Styela clava: one gene and its partners. The protein of the gene in region 1 binds, or shares a complex with, the protein of each later gene. Links are inferred from orthologs where the notes say so. Each region holds a gene or a part of one and is shown in the gene's direction. Other genes may lie near its edges.

Region 1 (3,765 bases):
ATGTGATCTGACGGTACGGTAAACCGTACTGTACTGCGAACAGACGTGTCCATATATTTGGGCGTAGCTCTCTTGTTTCATTGAGCAATGATAAAGTACAGAAACGAGTTGATTTTTCAGTCATAGTCATGAAGGCAGTAAATAAAATAAACGCGTGCTAAACACTCGCTCACTTAAATAATTATGCAATGAAAGTGATGAATGCATTTGAGCGCTTACTAGCCTTACTTCACACTGAAGTAAGATATGGCTTTCCATGGATATCTATCTGCCATACACCAGCAAGACGGGTATCGCTGCTCGATGACCAGCATTTGATTTTCGCGGAACTTGGAATGCCATTACTACGTTTACTCCTATTCAATGTTCGAACCAAGTGTATATTAAGTTTGGTGAAAAAATAAACTACTGACTGACTGATTTCACACCCTTTTGATACTGTTGTTGAATTCCAGCAGTTTACTTTCATGGAGAATAAATCAATCTGATAAAGATGGATTGGTTCCAATAACACTGTCTGGTTCCAATAATAGGCTCGTCGTGTATCAGTGAAATATGCCTGGACGAACATTTTTCCAATTCTAGTTTAGTATTATTCACGGACGTGGGATTCTTGAAAAGGAACATCAAATTGCAAAAAGATTTTGAACTCAAACAAATGTTCAGTGTTCCATAATAATTGTTCAGAATTAAACCAAATTAAAATACCCTCACGTGCGGGATCATGTAAAAAAAAATCCTTTAACAGCTCATACCTGTGCCATGACCGCGCTTCTAGATTACAAGAGTAACCGCATTTGACATCGTTGAAGAAACATAAGACCGTTTCTGACTAAAATGAAGCCGGATATTGATAAGCTAGCTGGTGACGTTTTATTTTGCTCACCCATCTCATTAGGCTAATGATGAATGGAGAATAAATTCATTTATGCTTATCAGTCAAAGGTGAAGCGAATGCGCTCTACTTTTACATAAAAATCACATTTATTTTGTGATGTGATAGTGGAAGTACACTCCAGCATTTACGGATGGCGCTGGTGGTGTCGCTGCCTGAAGACCTCTTGAGGTCCCTCGCGACTCCTGTCACACAATTTAAGTTAGTTTCCACTTGTATTTGTGATATTTTTTCATATATCATACCATGTTTAAATTGTGTTGACGAATAAATGATGATTGATTGGATGGCAAAGGTATAAGCAAAGAAGTGTGAATAAAATTTGTTAATATATGCTTTGGGGAATGGCAGCTGCTACGTAACAAAAATATAAAAAATCATTAATGAGCATATGGATTATTTATGCTACTTTAATATCCGGTTATTATATTTGTTTAATTTTGTCTGTACATTGTTTCATGCACGACGAAATAAATACAGTATCTGAATCTGTTAACCGTCACAATGCTATCCGGATATCAGGTAGCAAAATACATTTGGGTTAACCGGTTTCGGTATCCGGACAATTCAACCCCACATCAAACATGGAAAACAAACGACTGGTTAACTAATCAGACTAATGGGCGGTATTGCTGTATTGTTACGATATTTTATAGGCTACTCTACGTGCTGACCTGTGTCTTTGTCATCAACGTACCGGGTACCGGTACTGACGTAACGAATATTGTACGGTACCGGTATTGAAGTTCACAAATACCGATACCTACGGTATGTCATTAAGGGGTCTGGTATAGTTTAGTACCACATCCACTTCTAGTTGGCCTGGCTCAACAATTTTTGCATATGTCAATCCTAACCCCCACCTGACTACGTCACCGAAAAATTACGTCATTCCGACGTCACAGTGGCGTAATAAGGCCCACCGAAGTATGCGGATGGTCGTCCAAAACGCGCAGACGATAACCCGAAATCGAGCAAGCTATTTCTCTCGTTTTCTCGTCGCAACGATCACGATAGGAGAGAGATCGCCGGCCTTAACAAGTTCTTATCGGCGGCGCAGATGCCATTTCGGGCGATGGTAATTATACTTTGGCAATCCCTATGACGTGATGGTGACGTCGTAGTGACGTAATTTTTGGATGGCATAATCAGGTGAGGGTTAGGAGTAACATATGCAAAAATCGTTATGCTACGCCCACCGGAAGTACCGGCACTTGTGGTACTAAACTATACTAGACCCTCATTAAGTTATATGAACGATTCTTTAACGTACTAATATAATGTCATTACCCTAAAACTTACAAAATCATTGGATACTGGTGTTCCTTATTAAAACATAGGTCCGCTTCCTTAAGAATCATGTTGCAAACAGTATTCAGGTATTTTTTTTATTTAAGTCAGTAAGTAGCCTACATTTAAATAACTAGGGTCTCTGGGTTTACAAAATTGAATTATTTTTTAGGTCAATTTTAGAAGAAATGAGCGCTAGACTACGGTATAGGTTCGCTATTGTTTTGGAATGAAAATGTAAGTAAGTGTAGCTCCTCTGCATTTTGTTTGTCCGTTTGTTGATGTTTTGTTTCGTTCAGAGTGGCCAAAATAAAATTGATTGATTGATAGCTCTATGCAGCTATGAAACAGAAAATAAAAGTTCTCCGCCTAAATAAATTGAGTTCATTGAATGTATTTTTTCCAACAACATTATGCATTATTATTTTATCACAATTTATCCTTCAGTTATTTTAAATTTGTATTAAGTCAACGGTGATACGATATATTATACTAATGTAAATAGAATCAGATTCCAATCAAAATTAAATTTTTTAAAAACTTACATCTGTAATCCTTCCTTTAATTAAGATAAACATAATTTATTCCTAAATTGTCAAACTTAAATTGTCAGGAATATAAGATCATATATTGGGTTGCGGTTATTTGCGATAAAGTTCCGTCTTTGTTGTAAACTATTATTACAGTATTATTAACAATAAGAAACTTCTTCATTGCAGGCATAATTTTAATTCAGGGTATTTCAATATCATAATATTGATATTCAAATTTATTCTTCAAAAGTTATTATCGAAAAAAGATTGGAAATGGAATTACAACGAGGAAGCATCAGCACTAAACAACAATTAATGGCTCTTGTTGAAGACATTGATCTTATTACTCGGCAATTGTTTGAAACTCTTTCCCAACAGTCATCAAGGCAATCTTCAACCAGTCAAACTTTCAATTCTCAAAATGATGAAGCTATCCCACAAAAAATGAACGTGAATCAGCTTACTGATCTTTTGCTTCAAAAAAACAAAGATTTAGAAGAGAAAATGGCAATGGCACGCGACCAACAACAACTTCATCGTGATATCAAATTATACAAAGCTGAAATCGCACAAAAAAATAAAGAAATTGAGGTTTTACAAAAACACCTAAAAGATGCGGAACATCTTTTATCCACTGCTCTATACCAAGCCAAAGAAAAACTCAAATCGATCAGAAGAGCAAGAAAAGGTGCTGTTCCTTCTGAAGATATCATTAAATATGCTCACAAAATAAGCGCTGCATGTGCCACGGCAGCTCCATTAAATTGGGCGCCAGGTGACCCAAGACGACCCTATCCACAGGACATCGAAATGAGATGTGGTTGGCTGGGACAGATTAACAATATGACAGATGCAAATTCAACGATTAAGCCACCGCCGCAGTTAGGAACGGAAGGACTTTCTGTACCAAATTTAGTTGGTATGTCGCGATCTAATGATATACAACAACCACAATGGGGCAACCAATCAGCATCTGGTATGGACGGAAAATTTGGATATGGTCAAAAAGGAGATGAAGAGGTTGAAATAATGTCCTCTGATTCATCA
Region 2 (2,728 bases), on another chromosome or scaffold:
ATCGGACATCGTCTCATTCAGTATATCCTACAGCGTTTGACAAAAACGTTACTGGAAAAATTTACATGGGAAATTGATGGTGATGTCAACAATACAAAAAAGTACAAATTACTCCCAGTCGCAAGACCTACAGAATTGCCTTGCGTTAGATTTCATAATAAAATATAGTTGATTATTTTTCTCACAATTTTTGTCGTTTTACCTCTGTATTGTGTTATGTGCCCATTATCCTCTATAGCCTAATCTGTTTTTAAAATGTTCCGATGAAATTTCAAATTACATTCAACACTCTGAAGCTTTAAAATTGTTTTGAACAAGTCCTTTTTTCATTCAATCATTATATAACTAATTCTTTCTTACAAATTGCAACTTCTTGCAAATTGCACTTGATTCTTCGAAATCAATTTGTTATCATTTTTTTTAATTTTTCTGTAAAATTTTTAATCACTTGATTATTAATACCTTATGAATGATGAACAGTATTATTGTTACTGTACTGTACCATGTTACCGCAGCATTATTTTTATCAATATGAATTTTGCAATGTCAGTCAGTACTTGATATATTCCCAGAGCACTTTTTTATCTTTATTTGTTACCTAACAAATATACCATATATCATGGATGTTTATTAATATTGATATTGTTAACAAAAATTCTATTCTCATATTTCTCCACATCGGTATTGGAATACTGTACTTCTAGACTTTTTTGAAAAATTATTTATAACTTGAGTATTTTCTAATTTATTTGTTTTGCAATTGAGTTTTCTCTGCAGATTATTTCTTCAAATTATTATCAATATTACAATGCGGTTCATTTAGAAATCAAGATTTGTTCTCTCCATTTCTATGCATGAAATTTGAAATTATCTTTTTGTGTACCTTAATTAAACGATATTCAGCATGATTTGTGAGTTACCTAATTCAAACATTTACAGACTTCTTTTTTATATAAGACCTGTCTATTTAAACCGGTATTCCATCTTGTACTAGTGTTTTTATCAAACTGTGTTGTGGCTTGTGATAAGAATCAGTTTCAAATTTTCTGATAGGGCTGTATTTGATTTTTGACTAGTTTTTATTATCAAATGATGTGAAGTTATGCAAATTGATATCTTAGATTTATAATGAGTACTGTTTATATTTATCAGCCTGCAACACTTATTTCTAAAAATAATATCATGGAATCTCAAGGAATAGAAGAAAAAGTGCTCGAGCAATCAGTTGAAGCCCTCATGAATCGTTCTCGAGAATTGAAAAATGCTTTGGTACAATTTATTGCAAAAATAGATCACGAACATGAAACTCTTACTTGGACATCAGTCTTGGATAGTTATGCTCTGTTATCGGGTCAAATGAGTTCACTCTTCAACTTATTGAAAGCTGAAAAAATAGCACCTCTTCAAAATTATCCTATTATACCATTACGCTTGGGCCAGGATGACGACCAATATCTTGCTAATCTAACGGAAGGTAGATTGCTATATCTTAATCATGCCGTTGTCCCAGATTATCTAAGGACCAAACCTGATCCAGAGGTCGAACAAACGGAACGTCAAATGAATAATGAAGCAAGTGTATGTAATGATGCAGCCGTCAAAAACTTAAACAAATGTTGTGATAAAATGTTAGAAAGAATAAAACTTTCTCTACATAATTGGAAAAACGATCAACAGCAAATGAAAAATATAAAACCAACATTTAATCAGAATGACACTGTACAATTAATTGCAGCTTCAACGTACGGTCGTGATATTTCAATACAACAGTCTCGAAACCCAACTCAGCTACCACCAGGAGGTGGGAAAATGCAAACGGCTACGGGTGTCAAAATAGAGTCCCATCCATATTCAAGGCCATGATTGCTTAGGATCAATGTTTTGGATCCATTTGGTATTGGAATATTGTTGTAAACGCATTGTCTTAACATGAAATAAAGGCTTTATGAGCCGTGGGACTGCTTGAAAAAATATAAGCAAAACTCTATGTTATATTCTGACATTACATGAATAAATATATGAGGGAACTGGCGAATATGTAGGGGAATTGTAGTTCATCTAAAATTAATTTTTCTATCTAGATTATGAAGAAGACTGATGAAATACAATATGATAAAAACTGCTTTTCTTGTGATATATTTATTTTATATTGAGCATGAAAGCGGAATTGGAATTAGCCTCTTTGTTGAGGTATCTTTCTATACCATAAGCGTAAGGGAATGCCTATGGGCCTGTTTTACAGTAAGCCATGGTACAAACTGCTAAATTTAACATGGTTTGTCGAATCTTGGATGTTTTGTACTCCCAGATTGGGTTTCACAATGTAGTTTCCATGCCAGTTTTGTATAAAGCCATGGTACAAACTGCTAAATTTAACATGGTTTTTCAAATCTTGGATGTTTTGTACTTCCAGATTGGGTTTCACAATTTAGTTTCCATGCCAGTTTTGTATACCATTCATATTGTCTGATAATACAACAACAAGAACATCTACTAAGCAAACAAAACTTTAATGTTTGAGCTTGACTGGTTACGAGTTAGTCTGACAGGTACGTAGGGCTTGATCAATCCAACTTACTGTTCTCCCATTATGATCAAGGGTAGGGATGGGCAATATAGAATACCGAATCCGGAGGATTCGAATCCAACGGGATCCGATATCAGGATTCGGTTTCCGCCTTTCCGGCGGCAAGCGTCAATTCTTGTATTTCGGGTTTCTAATTTATCA
Region 3 (3,765 bases), on another chromosome or scaffold:
CGCTACCGGTACCTACGCTTGACAAAGCAGGAATTTCGTTCCACACCACCGACGTTCCATGAGCGTGATCAAAAGAACAACAAAAAGAGTGACAGCACAAAAACAAATCCAATACGTGTCATAAAAACGAATCCCACAGTGCTATCAAGAATATTTGAAATAGATGAATGTAATAGCCTTCTAAAGAATTTTTTTATCTTTAACCACTGAAAAGAGCAATTGGTCCAGTAATCAAAAAGAAAAGCGACTTTTTACGTTTTCCACAAGGTGTCCAAAAGTGTCAAAGAACAACAACAACATAATATTAAAACGATCGTTATGTTCACTAACTTGTCCAACAAGAACAACAAAAATTGCAAAACGATCGTTATGTGCACCAACGTGTCCAATTTACGTGCGAACTTGATCATTTCACATTTTGAAAAAACTACACACACGTGAGCTACTTGATCTCAAAAATCGGTGTGTCAGATAATTTGCAAAAATCCATTGACAGTAACCAGCAATGCTAACCGGTTTGCTGATCTCAAAATTCCGTGAGACGGTTCTATAGAACCAGTGCGAACAGGATGAATCCCACAACTGGATAAAGTGCGTAATAAACCGACATATTTTAATAAGTGATAGGGCCTACTACCCTCTAGTACAGGGTGGTCCAAACCCAGGCCGGCGGGCCACATGTGGGCCGCCGCGTCATTATCCGTGGCCCGCGACTCATTTGCGCGAAGGGAAACAAAAAATTGCACTTGGAGTTGTTTCATCTTGAAAATAACCAAAAAATATTTTAAAGTCACTGAATTGAGTAGTGTTATGGCTAGCTGAAGCAGCTAGCGTGGTTAATTTATGTGCTTAGGTAGACTAAATATTTATCTGGCTTTCCATTTTTTTGTTCGGGAATATATGCTAACAAAATAAGCTTCGTAGAAAAGTAAAAATCGAATATAAAGAATCTATAAGCCTAGGTTGGCTACGCATGTAACTGAATATAATTCCTGTCGGATCTTTTTTGAAATTTAGTAATTATCCTAATGTATCCCAAATTTGGTGAAATTCAGTAATCAATCAATCTGCTGTTATTTGTAAATTATTTTGTAAACATGAGTTTGAAAAGAATGCTGACCAATTCAAACAGATTTTTTGACTGGATATGGGATACCGGTACCATACCATAATACTTGCCCAATATGTCTGCAAGTTGTGTCGGTGATGACTGATGATCTAAAACGACATTTTCTTCGTTATGAAAAGTTTGAAATTTTACACTAAATGTAGATATAGACTAGTCTAGTAAGATTTGTGCAAGTTTTAGTAAGTTTTTTTTGGTGGTTTTTGTACGTTTTAGCTTGATAAATGACTAATAATGATCAATGTGTTTGGACAATAGAAGTGTGTGTTTTGTATTGCACTGTATACTCTAGGCACTATTGTGGCCCGCGAGGCCGACAACCTTGGACCACCCTGCTCTAGTGGTATAAGGGGAAAATTTTTCCATAAACAATGAATAACTTTGTAATATTTTTGATAAGTTGAAAGCAGATTGCAGACCCCAAAATTTTGTAGATATCATTTTTTGTGACAAAATTCATTTTCACATTGAAGTAGCATTGTAGAATTTTGTGAAATATACTCTACTATACCACTTTTTGTCATGCAGGTCTGCATTTTCTTGTTGTTTGTATCAATACTTCTTTCTGTATATGTACAAGCTGATTTAAATTAACGCATTCATGCTAAAATAAAGTTGAGATATTATATAATCTGGCAGTATGGGAGTTACATTTGTAACCCATTGGGATATTGAGGAAGGAAAAAATGTTCCACAATCATTAGAAGAACTTCAACGGACAATTGAAAAAATTGGAGCTAAAAAATCAGGATTATTTTGCGTGGAATGTGAAACATATCAAACAGTGAACATTAATCAAGGAAAACCTCTAAACATAATATCCAACTCGGAATACCCATTGTCAAAATTTGCACTTTTTGAAGATGGTGCTTCACTAATCGCAGATGCAATGCTACCAAATTTTTTAGTTAAGATGAGATTGTTTTGGCAACAGCGCAAAGGGGCAAAGATTGAGTGCAAAGGACATCGGTATATTCTCAATGATTTTTTATTCAAAATTGGAGTAGTTACTCATGGGTCAAATACAAGAGGAATTGCTGTTGAGATAGAGTACACTCCGTGCCTTTATGTTAAAGAATGTTGGAATTTGCTTTTAGAGATTTTTCAAAATATTCTGGGACCCCAAGCTCCTACATCGGAAAATCCACTTTTTCAAAAATTGAAATCAACTGACATAATATATACAGCGGAACATACATCTTTACAATACATAGAAGTTTTCAATAATTTTCGCAAAGTTACATCATGAATTGGGATTTTATATTCCGTTGGTCTGTTTCGTGTATTTGTAACATTGGAGTTGCAATGAGTTATAAAGTATGAAATATCAAATATTTTAATATTACCAGAACTTTCAGAACCTGTCCCTCCAAAATAGTAGATGAGAATTGATTTCCTATTTTTATTATGGAGAATGAAGTTTCTTATCGTCTTGTTCAACATTAAACAAATAATTGAAAATAATGCCATTTTCAACTAATTTGGTTTAAACTTTGAAAATTAGCTTTGGCGTCATCGCTCTAAAAAGTTTACTGATAAGTTTTTATTTTATTAAATATTTGGTATATATGTCTGCTAATTTAATACTTTCTTCTAAACAAAAATGTTATTCATATCCATGGGAAGATGATTTAATAAAAGGATTTTGCAAAACATTCGGTTAATTTTGACATGTAATATTTTTGTATTGCCATTTTTACTATGAACGTTGCCATGTACAGGGATCCCAGTTCAATACACCCTGCGTGAGATGATAGGCATGTGACTTCAACATGGGATGTTCAACCTAGTTATGCCCAGCGCTTTAACCAGTGATTTCATTTTATATTTGTTCATTTTTAAATCCATGCCTGTACGATGTGTATGTTATGTAGGTTTACATAAACTTTTGAAACCAACTTGATTGCTCTTTAGATATATTGACATAGTGACAGTACGATGACAGTCATGGTCACGATGCTTTGTTTAACTAGCATATTTATACGCTATTCAAATATTCCCATCTACTTATTACTACTTCTCAATAAAGTATCGAAATAATTTTACACAACCCAAATTGATGATATTGTGGAAAGAAAATCAGTCTGATTATAAGTTTTCATACAATTGCTATTTTATGAATTTATCTCAATTTTCTACCATCATCAATTTATGAGCTTGATAACCTTATTTGCAGAAATATTGTTTGTTCACTATAATAAGATGCCAACTTGTGCTGTTTGCGATAAGCTTGACAATTTGAAGTCCTGTAGTCGATGTGGAAGTGTAGAATATTGTGGGCGTGAACACCAAACACAACATTGGAAAGTGCATAAAAAAGATTGTAAAAAACAATCGGGCAAGACAGACAGCACTGAAAATTCTGAAGAACAAAATGAGAATTCCACAATAGATGAAGTCGCACAAAAGATCAAATCAATGAATTTAGAAACAGAAGGTCGTGTGGCACAGAATTCTATTCCTCTTAACCCATATGATAGTTACACAAAAAGGGATGAAGGAATTGTTGCTCGATGTCATAAAAACTTAGTTCAGAGGGGAATATGCGTCATCGATACGTTTGTGGATGAAAATAGAGCGGATTTGTGTCTGGCTGATGCAATGTCTTTATATTCGCAACCCGATAAATTTAAACCGGG

What was found.
Region 2: mediator of RNA polymerase II transcription subunit 4-like (region 1) and mediator of RNA polymerase II transcription subunit 8-like share a complex: the UniProt entries of both Drosophila melanogaster proteins name them as parts of the mediator complex. The link is inferred for Styela clava from reciprocal best matches to the Drosophila melanogaster genes MED4 and MED8.
Region 3: mediator of RNA polymerase II transcription subunit 4-like (region 1) and mediator of RNA polymerase II transcription subunit 20-like share a complex: the UniProt entries of both Drosophila melanogaster proteins name them as parts of the mediator complex. The link is inferred for Styela clava from reciprocal best matches to the Drosophila melanogaster genes MED4 and MED20.

What each region holds. Positions count from the first base shown.
Region 1 is NC_135264.1:5,107,955-5,111,719, forward strand, and holds the start of mediator of RNA polymerase II transcription subunit 4-like, read left to right. Parts: upstream 1-1,531; 5' UTR 1,532-1,663; intron 1,664-2,357; 5' UTR 2,358-2,422; intron 2,423-2,904; 5' UTR 2,905-2,991; coding exon 2,992-3,765. UniProt on the Drosophila melanogaster protein: Component of the Mediator complex, a coactivator involved in the regulated transcription of nearly all RNA polymerase II-dependent genes.
Region 2 is NC_135258.1:9,744,416-9,747,143, reverse strand, and holds mediator of RNA polymerase II transcription subunit 8-like, read left to right. Parts: upstream 1-1,126; 5' UTR 1,127-1,128; coding exon 1,129-1,863; 3' UTR 1,864-2,122; downstream 2,123-2,728. Other genes in the region: cytochrome P450 26B1-like, read left to right, coding at 1-168. UniProt on the Drosophila melanogaster protein: Component of the Mediator complex, a coactivator involved in the regulated transcription of nearly all RNA polymerase II-dependent genes.
Region 3 is NC_135251.1:21,685,152-21,688,916, reverse strand, and holds mediator of RNA polymerase II transcription subunit 20-like, read left to right. Parts: upstream 1-1,027; 5' UTR 1,028-1,766; coding exon 1,767-2,375; 3' UTR 2,376-3,277; downstream 3,278-3,765. Other genes in the region: prolyl hydroxylase EGLN3-like, read left to right, coding at 3,278-3,765. UniProt on the Drosophila melanogaster protein: Component of the Mediator complex, a coactivator involved in the regulated transcription of nearly all RNA polymerase II-dependent genes.